3 linked regions of the Xenopus tropicalis genome follow. The protein of the gene in region 3 binds, or shares a complex with, the protein of the main gene of each other region. Links are inferred from orthologs where the notes say so. Each region holds a gene or a part of one and is shown on either strand. Other genes may lie near its edges.

Region 1 (4,120 bases), about 31 Mb from region 3:
AGGTCCCTATCACATTCCCATCAGTCCCTGCCCCAGTGAGCTTACAATCTAAGGTCCCTATCCCATTCCCATCAGCCCCTGCCCCAGTGAGCTTACAATCTAAGGTCCCTATCACATTCCCATCAGCCCCTGCCCCAGTGAGCTTACAATCTAAGGCCCCTATCACATTCCCATCAGTCCCTGCCCCAGTGAGCTTACAATCTAAGGTCCCTATCCCATTCCCATCAGTCCCTGCCCCAGTGAGCTTACAATCTAAGGTCCCTATCACATTCCGATCAGTCCCTGCCCCAGTGAGCTTACAATCTAAGGTCCCTATCACATTCCCATCAGTCCCTGCCCCAGTGAGCTTACAATCTAAGGCCCCTATCCCATTCCCATCAGCCCCTGCCCCAGTGAGCTTACAATCTAAGGCCCCTATCACATTCACACAAACACTAGTGCCAATTTAATCAGGAGCCAATTAACCTGTCTGTTTGTTGTGGGAAACTAGAAGGGCTCAAGTTGATTGGAGGGAACAGAAAATCCATTCATACATTTGGACCTTTCCCATGGACCCAGTAACCATTAGTACGGTACCGAGACAGCGGCGGCGGCAGAAGGGAGAGCACAGACGGGGCAGAGAGAGACTGCTGCTTACTTTATAACATGCTCCAAGACGTGCAGGCCGAAGTGCCGGACGCAGGGGGAATGGCTCCGGTTGGACAGCTGCAGGCCACAGGGCACACAGAGGGGGCTTCTCTCCTTGAACTCCTCGCAGAACTGGGGGGGCAGCAGAGAAAAGAATAAACCTCAGTAACCGGGGGGTGGGGGGGGGGGTGGGGATATATGTTTATAAATAAAATCAGTAAAAGTGACAAATATAATTCCAGACCCCCATCCCAAACAGGACTGGGCCAGACCCCATGCTGCCCTGCTAGCCGTACCTGGGAATAAAGTGCAGCGGCCATGTCTGCCCCTACATGTTCCTCCCAGCTGTCAGGGGGCCAGGATAGAGTGGCCCTTACTGCCTGGCACTCACCCCCAGGCCTGGGCAACAACTGCCAAACCCTCTGTGCAGCACTTCATTATCAGGGGCAGCACTGGGGCAGTATGGGAGGGGGGCCTGTAAGGGTAAATGCTGACTAAATAACAATAGATTCTGTGTGTGAGTGAATGAATGAATGAGTGTGTGAATGAGGGTGAGTAAGAGTGAGTGTAAGTGAGAGTGTAAGTGTGTGTGAGTGAGTGTGTGAGTGTAAGTGTGTGTGAGAGTGAGTGTATGAGGGTGAGTAAGAATGAGAGTGTGAGAGTGAGTGTGAGAGAGTGGGTGAGACTGAGTGTGAGTGAGTGAGAGAGTGAGTGAGTGAGGGTGAGTGTGAGAGTGTGTGTGAGAGTGAGTGAGTGGGTGAGACTGAGTGTGAGAGTGAGTGAGAGAGAGTGAGTGTGAGTGAGGGTGAGTGAGTGTGTGGGTGAGTGTGAGTGAGTGAGTGTGAGAGGGAGAGTGAGGGTGAGTGTGAGAGAGTGAGTGAGTGGGTGAGACTGAGTGTGAGAGTGAGTGAGAGTGAGTGAGTGTGAGTGTGAGAGTGTGGGTGAGACTGAGTGTGAGTGAGTGAGTGTGAGAGGGAGAGTGAGGGTGAGTGTGAGAGAGTGAGTGAGTGGGTGAGACTGAGTGTGAGAGTGAGTGAGTGAGAGTGAGGGAGAGTGAGGGTGAGAGTGAGGGTGAGTGAGTGTGTGAGTGTAAGTGAGTGGGTGAGTGTGAGTGTGTGAGAGTGAGTGTAAGTGAGTGTGTGAGAGTGAGTGTAAGTGAGTGAGTGAGTGTGAGTGTGTGAGAGTGAGTGTAAGTGAGTGAGTGGGTGGGTGTGAGTGGGTGAGTGTGAGTGAGTGAGTGTGTGAGTGGGTGAGTGTGAGTGTGTGAGGGTGAGTGAGTGTGAGTGGGTGAGACTGAGTGTGAGAGTGAGTGAGTGTGTGAGAGTGAGGGAGAGTGAGGGTGAGTGTGAGTGAGTGTGAGAGTGAGTGGGTGAGACTGAGTGTGAGAGTGAGTGAGTGTGTGAGTGTGTGAGTGTAAGTGAGTGGGTGAGTGTGTGAGAGTGAGTGTAAGTGAGTGGGTGAGTGTGTGAGAGTGAGTGTAAGTGAGTGGGTGAGTGTGAGTGTGTGAGAGTGAGTGTAAGTGAGTGAGTGGGTGAGTGTGTGAGAGTGAGTGTAAGTGAGTGGGTGAGTGTGTGAGAGTGAGTGTAAGTGAGTGAGTGGGTGAGTGTGTGAGAGTGAGTGTAAGTGAGTGGGTGAGTGTGAGTGTGTGAGAGTGAGTGTAAGTGAGTGAGTGGGTGGGTGTGAGTGGGTGAGTGTGAGAGTGGGTGAGTGTGTGAGGGTGAGTGAGTGTGTGAGACTGAGTGTGAGGGTGAGTGAGTGAGTGGGTGAGTGTGAGTGAGTGTGAGTGTGTGAGTGAGTGAGTGGTTGGTCTCACTGCCCCACAAACCTTGCACACTGTTCCCTCAGCCCCTAATACCCCCCTTTCCTACCTGCCCCTGTATATAACCCCACGTTACCCCATCCCCCCAGTCCCCATTACCCAGCCGGTACCGGTACCTTGAGCGCTTCCAGGCGATATTCCTGACGGGACTCGGGCTCCAACATAACAGTGACCGCCCGGACAAGCTGCTCGCACAGAGCCGGTACCTGCTCGTCCATCGCTGGAGACTGAGGCTCCCAAGCTCCCCGCTCTCTCAGTCTCTCAGTGTGTGAGGAACCAGCAGCCCCACTGCGCCTGCGCCCCCAGTCTACGGCATGGGAGCCCTCACGCATGCGCACTCAGTCCCAGCGCCCTCACTGCGCATGCTCCAAACTACACGCGTCTCTCCGCAACGTCATTTCCTCCCGGGCACACGGGATTGCTTTACGGCTGCTCATTAAGCGATTGCGGCTCAATCTACGGCTCTTCCTAGTGACTGTACCGCGCATGCGCTAATGACTTACTGAGATTTCTGCTGCTGGGAAATAGAGTTCCCCGGAACTGTACGGGAGCCTGATAGGGTCAGGGCATTGGTACTAACTGTAAGCACTCACCTATAGTGTCTGTGGGAAATGCGCTATAGGCTACGTACAGAAGCAACTGCTGGAAATTAACAGCGTTAGGGGCCCAACAAAGGGTGAATATATACTGTTTTATGGTATCTCTCTGTACAGGCTATGGGCAAGCTTAGGGGGCTGTTCCTGCTGAATTGTGCTTAGTACAGGGGAATCCCTATGTGCCATAGTTTTATGGTATCTCTCTGTACAGGCTATGAGCAAACTTAGGGGGCTGTTCCTGCTGAATTGTGCTTAGTACAGGGGAATCCCTATGTGCCATAGTTTTATGGTATCTCTCTGTACAGGCTATGGGCAAACTTAGGGGGCTGTTCCTGCTGAATTGTGCTTAGTACAGGGGAATCCCTATGTGCCATAGTTTTATGGTATCTCTCTGTACAGGCTATGGGCAAACTTAGGGGGCTGTTCCTGCTGAATTGTGCTTAGTACAGGGGAATCCCTATGTGCCATAGTTTTATGGTATCTCTCTGTACAGGCTATGAGCAAACTTAGGGGGCTGTTCCTGCTGAATTGTGCTTAGTACAGGGGAATCCCTATGTGCCATAGTTTTATGGTATCTCTCTGTACAGGCTATGAGCAAACTTAGGGGGCTGTTCCTGCTGAATTGTGCTTAGTACAGGGGAATCCCTATGTGCCATAGTTTTATGGTATCTCTCTGTACAGGCTATGAGCAAACTTAGGGGGCTGTTCCTGCTGAATTGTGCTTAGTACAGGGGAATCCCTATGCTGCCATAGTTTTATGGTATCTCTCTGTACAGGCTATGGGCAAACTTAGGGGGCTGTTCCTGCTGAATTGTGCTTAGTACAGGGGAATCCCTATGTGCCATAGTTTTATGGTATCTCTCTGTACAGGCTATGAGCAAACTTAGGGGGCTGTTCCTGCTGAATTGTGCTTAGTACAGGGGAATCCCTATGTGCCATAGTTTTACGGTATCTCTCTGTACAGGCTATGGGCAAACTTAGGGGGCTGCTCCTGCTGAATTGTGCTTAGTACAGGGGAATCCCTATGTGCCATAGTTTTACAGTATCTCTCTGTACAGGCTATGGGCAAACTTAGGGG
Region 2 (4,316 bases), on a different chromosome or scaffold from region 3:
ATTTCAAATGATGCAAAAAGAGAAGAGCTGTTTTGCCGCTGGATTTTAGCATATCAAGATGGAACTTATTCATACATTTGAAGGAACAGGTTACAGTGATAGGTGTATTAGGAGTTTCTGTGTTTTGTGGGGCTCTTTAACAAATATTGGTTCAAAAGTTCCTCTTTAAATGCTTTACAGACCTTACTGTAAGACATCATCATTTTAATTGAATCTGGCCCTTGAACATGCTATATGAGAAATACTTGGCCCAGTACATTGAATTAGTTGGACAGCACTGCAGTAAACCATGGCTATGGATCAGCAGTGATTGGAGACCAGTCTAGTGCAGTGAGAATGATAAGAGCAAATTTCTGGTTGCTGTGGGATACATGACTATAACAAATATCGCTCATGTTATTGTAATAATCACCAGGGTTACTGTACTCCACTTACACTTTTGTGTCAATAACTCATTTCATGATTTTTCCTTTCCAAGAACTCAATTTGCTATTAATTTGTAGACTGGAAAATAGAAGGTCTTTGTACAAAATGAAAAGTTATTTCACACACGCCATGGTGTGCACTCTAAAGGTGCCCATACACGTTAAGATCCGCTCGCTTGGTGAGGTCGCCAAGCGAGCAGATCTTCTCCCGATATCCCCACCTACAGGTGGGCGATATCGGGAAAATGTAGGCTAATTTGATGGGGGGGGCCAAACGATCGAATTCTAATGGCGGAAATGGCACAGTCGGTTCGGGGACCGCATCAACGAGCCAATGCGGTCCCTGATCCGACTAAATCTTTTAGCCTGCCCGATCGATATCTGGGCAATTTCAGGGCAGATATCAGTCGGGCAGGCCCGTCGTTAGTGCCTCTACACGAGCTGATAAGCTACCGAATCGGTCCAAGGGACTGATATCAGCAGCTACAATTGGCCCGTGTATGGCCACCTTAAGAAACACCAAATAACTTATAGAAGCCATAGGTTTTACTGGCTAAAAGAATCCCAGGACACCAATTAACTTTTTAAGTGCCTTGTTTCCTAACCTTGGGTCCCTAAATGTTACTGAACTACAACTCCTAGGATGCATTAAACCATTTTAACATGTTAGTTAATGCTGGGAGCTGTAGTCCAGCAATATCTAGGGACCCAAGGTTAAGAAACAGGGCCCTACTTGCTAGGCCAGTGCAAACTGGCAATTCAGGGATTTATTGTGTTATTGTATAATAACTTTATATATATATTATATTATATATAATATTATAACATTGTATGTAATTAAAGGGCTTTTTTAAGTTAAATAACGCTTTGATCTTTCTTCATATGAAAAATAGTTGGAATGATTTAGTGTATCCATATGTTTTAATTTCCTTGCAGAGCCAGATTATGCACAAGGTTCCCCAGATTCCTACCCAGGGCCCCAGTACTCCAGTACTCCAGGGGCAGCAGCAAGGCAATAATGTGGGGACAGTGGAAGTTTGAGCCCCCAAATCACTACAGTTCTTGAGTCCTTAACCTGATCTTAATCCATCTCAGAATGTGAGATACATTTCATATAAACCTTGCTCCTTAATCAACGCTGTGTAATCCCCAATCTCTAAGACTAGTCATTTAATCCATACAACTAAACACTAAAGACACTGAAGCAGATAATACCAGATACCCAATGTTTTTCTCAGAAACATTTGGTTGTTTTGTCTATGAAGATTTTCATTCATCCAGGTCATGGTATATCTAGTATAAATAAATTTAAAGCAACTGGACTACCAAACAAGTCCAGTAGCTTTAAATTTATTTATACTAGATATTTGGTTGTTTTCATTATACAGGTATCGGACCCCGTTATCCAGAAAGCTCCGAATTACGGAATGCCCGTCTCCCATAGACTCCATTTTAATCAAATAATTCAGAATTTTAAAACTGATTTCCTTTTTCTATGTAGAAATAAAACAGAACCTTGTAATTGATTCCAACTAAGATATAATTAATCCTTATTGGATGCAAAACAATCCTATTGGGTTTAATTAATGTTTTATTGATTTTTTAGTAGACTTAAGGTATTGAGATCCAAATTACGGAAAGACCCCTTATCCGGAATACCCTTGGTCCCGAGCATTCTGGATAATGGGTCCTATACCTGTATTACCTTTTTGGCATGAACAGTTATGTTATTTAAGAAGATGGCAGATGCTGTTGCTTGGCAACAATGCATGGCCTACTTGGTACCCTCTTTATGGACAAATAGCTCTTAGGAATGTTCCTGCTGTACTCATGCTGCAAACAGGGACATTGTATGGGCTCAATAATTAATCATCAACCAAATGGACTGAGATTTCTGCTTAGTTCTTTTCCTACAGTACACGGACCCCTACTGTTTTATGTCAATTACCAGGAGCAGAGGCAAAAGACTTGTAATTTCCGATACACCTCATTTTCCTCCCTGAGAAACAACCGCTGCTTCCTATTGTGCTTTTTATATGACTGCAAGTGACAAATGGCAATTAGAGCATCACAGGGCTTGCTAAACATTAAACAAAGGATGCTTTTTTTTATCCCTAGGTCATGGCAAGCTCTGTCGTGGTCATTCTGCCAGTCTCTCTAGGAGAGCGGCTCTGATTTCCCACTCTCTGAATGTGCCTGTGACACAAGCTGTTTTAAACAAAAAGTCCATCAGCCATTTCCTTTAGCTGCAGCAAATTATATATCAGATGCAAGAAAAAAAGGAATCTTACCTTCTTTCTCTTCTGCCACAGAAATGTCCAGCACAGCAGGGTTCCTCCGTTGTGCTGTAATATTGCTCAGCTGCTGCTGCAAAGGCTCGATTACGCGATATTAAGAGGCAGATGCTGTGAGCGTTCCTCGGCCAGACAGCAGCTGCTGATTCTGTTTTTTTGGAGGCTTTTGTCACGCCTGTCTACAGCTCTCTCTTTTTTTCTTCATATAACTTTATTGGTATGGATTAGGAAATTGAATCAACTGGGAAAAGGTTTCTTGCATTATCTGCATGCCTGGGATATATGTGCACTAGAAATTTCCTAAGCCAATAACAAAGCAGGGCATGAAGGATAAGTGTGTACACATAATTCCACTGTTGGCTGCTGTAATGGGTTCTTTGTATTCTTTGGAATTCTTTGCAGTGGCAGGAATTTCAGTGCAGTTGTTTTTCTAGATATAGATATAAATTTCCAAATCCAGGTATTTTTTTAATGTGGGAGATACCTGCAAAGTTTGAATGAGAAAATTCACTTGATAGAATAATTTTTTCTATGAGCCATTAAAGTGATACTGACACTAAAAAACTACTTTTCAAAATATTAATGTACAATGAAAGTTACCTATAGGTCATGCTAATGCTGCTTTTGTAAGTACAGGTATAAGACCTGTAACACCTATTTGGCTATAAAATGGCCAACCCAGGCTAGTAATAGGTATAGAGCATGTGTTACATGCGACCTTAATACACAGGAGTGGGCCTCCGCTATATGGGAGGTATTAATGGAGCTGAGGGTGTAGTTGAACTACAACTAGGTAAGAGCTTGTGTGGTGCAGATGGAATAATGGACGCCAGAAAGGTTCTTGCTCATGAACTATAGTACAATTTATTGGACAAAGGCACAGCTTAATAGTGCAGCAGGGTATACTCACAGACACAGCAGTATAGAATGTGTGATCACCGTGGAATATACAAAGGTGACACTTAGGCACAGAATAACCCACTTGGAGGATGCACAGAGGATTAGTTGACACCTGAGATATAGACCTTTCAGAAGGGAGTGTTCCGGCCGACTGTGGTCCAGGGGAGAGCTCCTAACACTGGTACCTGGCGTCTAATAAAACCGGTCCCTAAAGAACGACTACAGAGCCGGGGTGGACTAAACCCTTTGTTACAACTCCTGGTTGGGGCTATTGACTGCCCTTGCTAAATAGTCTGACTACAATCACCTCTCCTAGAGGGTGCTATAAATGAAACTGACTGTGCTGGCTTTACCTCGTTCACGGGGCCCTGTCCCCGACTTATCACTAGGGTAGGTGGTCCCCTAGGGTACAAATGGCTTCTGGGCCTATGTTCTGGTCCAGGCTCAGTTGGGATCTGTCCAGAACACAGCATGCAGCCAAAAGAGGAAGACACTCCCTTGAGCAAGATACTATATAGTCTGCCAAGGGGAGTGGTCAACCTGGGCTAAACCTATAGAGGGCAGCCTAATAACAGTAACCTGATATCAGAGGGCTCTGCCCTATAACAATACAGATTAGATAAGAATAAGGGATAACACCATAGGGAGCTTAACCCTATGGGTCCCTACAGACCCATTATCCAGAATGTTCGGGACC
Region 3 (4,041 bases):
GGAGACTTTAAATACACCTATTATATAACCTGAATGTTAGAGCAAGCTTAAAGCTTACTCTGGTAATTCAAAATCTGAAGATCATAGAGCATAATGCAACTGTTCAAAGATGGCCACATTACATAAACACTCCTGTACTGGCTTTGCATTGGCAAAACACTTTACAACAAAAAACACTATACAACAAAAAGTGTATCAACTAAATTTCAAATTAGTTACATTATTTGCACGAACATACAATGTTCTACTTAATGACATAATTTTAGGAAATGTAGCTGTACAGATAAACCAGAAGTGCCAATACACTACAGGCAGGATGTAAAGGCATAGCATGCCTTAATTCCATTCCACTTAAGGCATTAAAGCAATATTTCCTACAGCATAAAAACTAGTTTAGCTTGTAGTTCTTAGTTATACTTTCAGTATTGGTAAACATCTCCTTTGCTCATTCACACATGACAAGGCAGCAGTGTTCTCAACAAGCACTATAAGCACTCGGGACCAAAGGCCACACAACTCCATTTCAGCTATAAAATTCTTAAAGCACAAGTTAAAAATGTTGAAGCAAAAGAAAAAAAAAAATCCACACATTACAATGCTAAGACAAAAGTATGATAGTTCACAAACTGAGTAGCATAGGCAGTATTTTTCATACAATCAGTTTAGGATGTGAACGATTCACTGTACAATACATTCTAGCAACATGAAAGGCTCACAGGGTCAAATATAAAGGCAATCATCCGGGTAGTAGTAGTAAAAGCCCTGCGCTATAGTGAGTCCATGTCATACATAGCAGCCTCTCCCAGCTGCCCCTCCCTCCTCAGCACGTGACATTCACAGACCTCTCCATACTATACACTAATATTTCTGGAAATTTCCACTCTACCAAGAACTGACTAAAAGAAAAGAAAAAAAACAGGAGCCCCAGTAAGTCGGACTGTGTCACCTAGATGAATACCTACTCCCCAAAGCACACCTACATTGCAACGGAAGTCCCCTTGAGACATGAGGCCTACTCATCCATGCCTTGTTAAGAGGAGGAGGAGGATTCATTCAAACAGAGGGGGCTGATCCGTCTCACTCATTTCACCCCCCCCCCCCCCCCTTTTGGTTTTTTGGGATAATAGCATGGGCCATGTAACTCATACATTCTAAAGGAGGGAGAATCACATTTTTCTCTTTACTGAAGTATTCACTAAACCTACGTGGACACACTTCATGCAGAATTACACAAACCAGTCTAAACAGTAGAAGAGGGGGCTAACACACAACAGGCACACTTATTAGATACACAATGGTGTAAATACTTTGTTTCTTTTTTTGAGGGGGGGCAGTCACATGGAGATCAGTAGCTGGTTTTGGTACTGGCAACAGCAAAACAGCTTTCATGGAAAAAGCAGGAGTAAAAGATAAAACTACCATTTTTTATCCGATTACTTCCCAAAACCAGTAACAGCAACATTATTGCAAGATAAAAAAACATCATGGATCTTACATGCTGAAGATTTTCCCAGACTACAACTCAAAGCTTGCATCCAAAACATTAAAACAACAACAATAACATAATTTTGAAAGCAAAGCAGAACCCTAAAGTAACCAATAACTATGTTAAAGTCTTTGAAGCTGAATGAGAAAAAGGTAGGTGTAACAAGGCAAGCTGCTGCACTCCAGTTCCCAGCATTCCCTGACAGCCAGAGCTCAGGTGAAAGAGAAAAGAACCCTTGTTACAACACATAAAGGATCTGCTTAAAAATTGGTTCTTCAAGTCTGTAGTTAAAAGAAAAAATAAGTTATCATTCCTAAACATGTTACAGCTTTATCAACTCTTTAATAAACAAATCATTTACACTCTTGTTTTCTCTCATACGTTTGTAGGGCGACCCAATGAGTTGGGTGAACCAACACTGCAGTCCTAAAGCTGTTCTTTAACTAGTTCTCACTTTCCCATCTGTGAGTTATAGTTCAACAACAGTTTCTGAGCTACATCTTGCACACACTCAGCAGAGCCCTTACACACACCAGCTAGGGCCTCATCCCAGTTGCACTTACCGAGAGCGGGGAGCTGCCTTCTCCTCAGCACAATACGAGAGAATGGGGCTGAACCACTTGAAGTAAAGGGGGAGCAGGAGGGTGACGGCTCAAACTGTATTTTGTTATTTTTCAGTAATCCACCAGAATATTCCCCCACAACGAATGATACACTTCTTACCAGTAGCGCACCCCCAGACACATGTACATGCGTGGGGCTGTGTATGGGCGGGTTACCCTTTCTCAGTAAGAATTTTACCACTCAAACGTATTGCTGCTTTATTGCCTTGGCAAAAAAAAAGGAATATAAATAATAATGTGTCCCAGTGAATGAGGGACACGGCCCAAAAGCAATGAGATGAAGGGGAAGCAGGATTAGATCCGTAGGCCCAGGCAGGGGGCTTGCTCTTCACACCCACTGGAGGAGGAAAATGTAAATACTGGGGGTGTAATTAATGGACGGGCTTGCTTTTTCACTGCTGGCGCTAGTAGTCCTCAGTCGGGGCCCTTGCACATTGTACAGGACGAAATCCTTTCTGTTGCTACCTGTTGTTTAGCCCTCCAACGTAAACGCGCGGAGCAGCAGGGCTTGGAGGCTGGAAAGAGGCGCTTCTTCAGCTCTAATGCCACACACTAACAACCGGCTGAAACCGGTTCAGACTGGGACATTCCATCTCCGTTGAGTTCTCAAGCCCATGGCGCCGCCGAGCGTTTGGAAACCTGTGCAACTCCTCCCAGCAGAGCGCCTGATTGGCCCAGGTCTGTTCGCGTGAATTCGGCTATTGGTCGGGGGTGGCGTCCGTCAATGTCTGCTTGAGCCGCCCCTTTTCTCTTTTTTATTTTTTTTTAAGGCCTTTGCCGCGAAGTGCCTGTGGAAGGCGGAGTGGGATGGAGCGATGACGATGTAGGGATGCTATTGAATTTTGATTGGTGGAGAAAGGATGCCAGTCAAGGGGCAAGGTTTGGTTACCGTAGAAACAGGACCAGTTTCCCCGCCAATGTGCTGTTTGAGTTCAATGCAGTGCGTAAGGCGAGCAGAAGTCGTGTTGTTAACGTTTTGTTTTCCTTCTTTGGGAGCTGCTTAAAGTAAATCAATGGCATTACTGCGCCATGTGAGGGTGGGTTTTTTTTTTTTGCTTAAACGCTTCAGGCTTTTTGCCTTTATTCGTTATTATATTTTATGTGTAATAGCAGATGTGGATTAGCAATACATGCATCAGATTCAGTAGGTCAAATCCTTCTAGTCAGGGAGCACAAAACAATAGAAAATCAGAAATAATGGTGGGTCAAAAAAGGCCTTATGCATTTGGACCATGTTGCAAATTTTAACTAAACCTTTGAGATCCTGGGAAAAGCAATATGTTTTGCGGTGCTGTGCAATAAATTGGTTTATATACTGGACAAACATACTGAAGCCGGCCATACACACAGCGCTATTGACATTCGGTGCCTGTATGGCGGCTCAAACAGGCAACCGATCTCGCAAAAGGCTGCAGATATTGAAGGCGCCCAAGTAAAATCTACATTCAGGGCTGAATTGGCAGGTGGAGGTTGAACATCCATTGTTTCTACCTCCATATCTGATGATTCAGCCCTGAACGTCAGTGGAGGGTGGGAACAATCTTTCGTGTGACCAATGTAGGGATGAAGATTCCATTAAAATAAATGGCAGGCTTAACAGCTTACAGTCAGATGCTTTTCACCTGCTGTTAAACACTGGCAAAGTAGACACTTCCATGTGCCATAGGCCTAACAGAACTCCTGAAGGGTCTCTGCTTTAGGGCCACAAGGACTTTTGCCGGATGATATCAGATCGTCAAAACGCATCCAACAAGTTGACTGTAGTCATCTGGATCAAAATATAATGAGGTTGATACAAAAATCTAATGTGTAAATTACATGTAAACTTTTGGCATCCACTGCGACACGCCTGTTGGAAGGGAATGCTGCATGCTGTGTCTGCATCTGTCGGAAAGACTTTTTTTTGCTCATTGAAATACACTGACTGATGTA

Evidence for each region.
Region 1: xpo1 (region 3) and xpo5 share a complex: the UniProt entries of both Homo sapiens proteins name them as parts of the nuclear export receptor complex. The link is inferred for Xenopus tropicalis from reciprocal best matches to the Homo sapiens genes XPO1 and XPO5.
Region 2: the proteins of xpo1 (region 3) and pkia are in contact, whole or in part, in an NMR structure (PDB 2L1L), measured with the Homo sapiens proteins. The link is inferred for Xenopus tropicalis from reciprocal best matches to the Homo sapiens genes XPO1 and PKIA. Residues at the interface, in NP_003391.1 of Homo sapiens: Val518, Lys522, Leu525, Cys528, Glu529, Lys534, Lys537, Ala538, Ala541, Ile544, Phe554, His558, Lys560, Phe561, Thr564, Lys568, Phe572, Glu575, Thr576, Val580; in NP_006814.1 of Homo sapiens: Asn36, Leu38, Ala39, Lys41, Leu42, Ala43, Gly44, Leu45, Asp46, Ile47, Asn48, Glu51.

The regions. Positions count from the first base shown.
Region 1 is NC_030681.2:2,540,424-2,544,543, reverse strand, and holds the start of xpo5 (exportin 5), read right to left. Parts: upstream 2,823-4,120; 5' UTR 2,779-2,822; coding exon 2,563-2,778; intron 760-2,562; coding exon 638-759; intron 1-637. UniProt on the Homo sapiens protein: Mediates the nuclear export of proteins bearing a double-stranded RNA binding domain (dsRBD) and double-stranded RNAs (cargos). XPO5 in the nucleus binds cooperatively to the RNA and to the GTPase Ran in its active GTP-bound form.
Region 2 is NC_030682.2:123,166,192-123,170,507, reverse strand, and holds the start of pkia (cAMP-dependent protein kinase inhibitor alpha), read right to left. Parts: upstream 2,841-4,316; 5' UTR 2,717-2,840; intron 1-2,716. UniProt on the Homo sapiens protein: Extremely potent competitive inhibitor of cAMP-dependent protein kinase activity, this protein interacts with the catalytic subunit of the enzyme after the cAMP-induced dissociation of its regulatory chains.
Region 3 is NC_030681.2:33,543,304-33,547,344, reverse strand, and holds the start of xpo1 (exportin-1), read right to left. Parts: upstream 2,802-4,041; 5' UTR 2,575-2,801; exon of another isoform or gene 2,050-2,574; intron 1-2,049. UniProt on the Homo sapiens protein: Mediates the nuclear export of cellular proteins (cargos) bearing a leucine-rich nuclear export signal (NES) and of RNAs.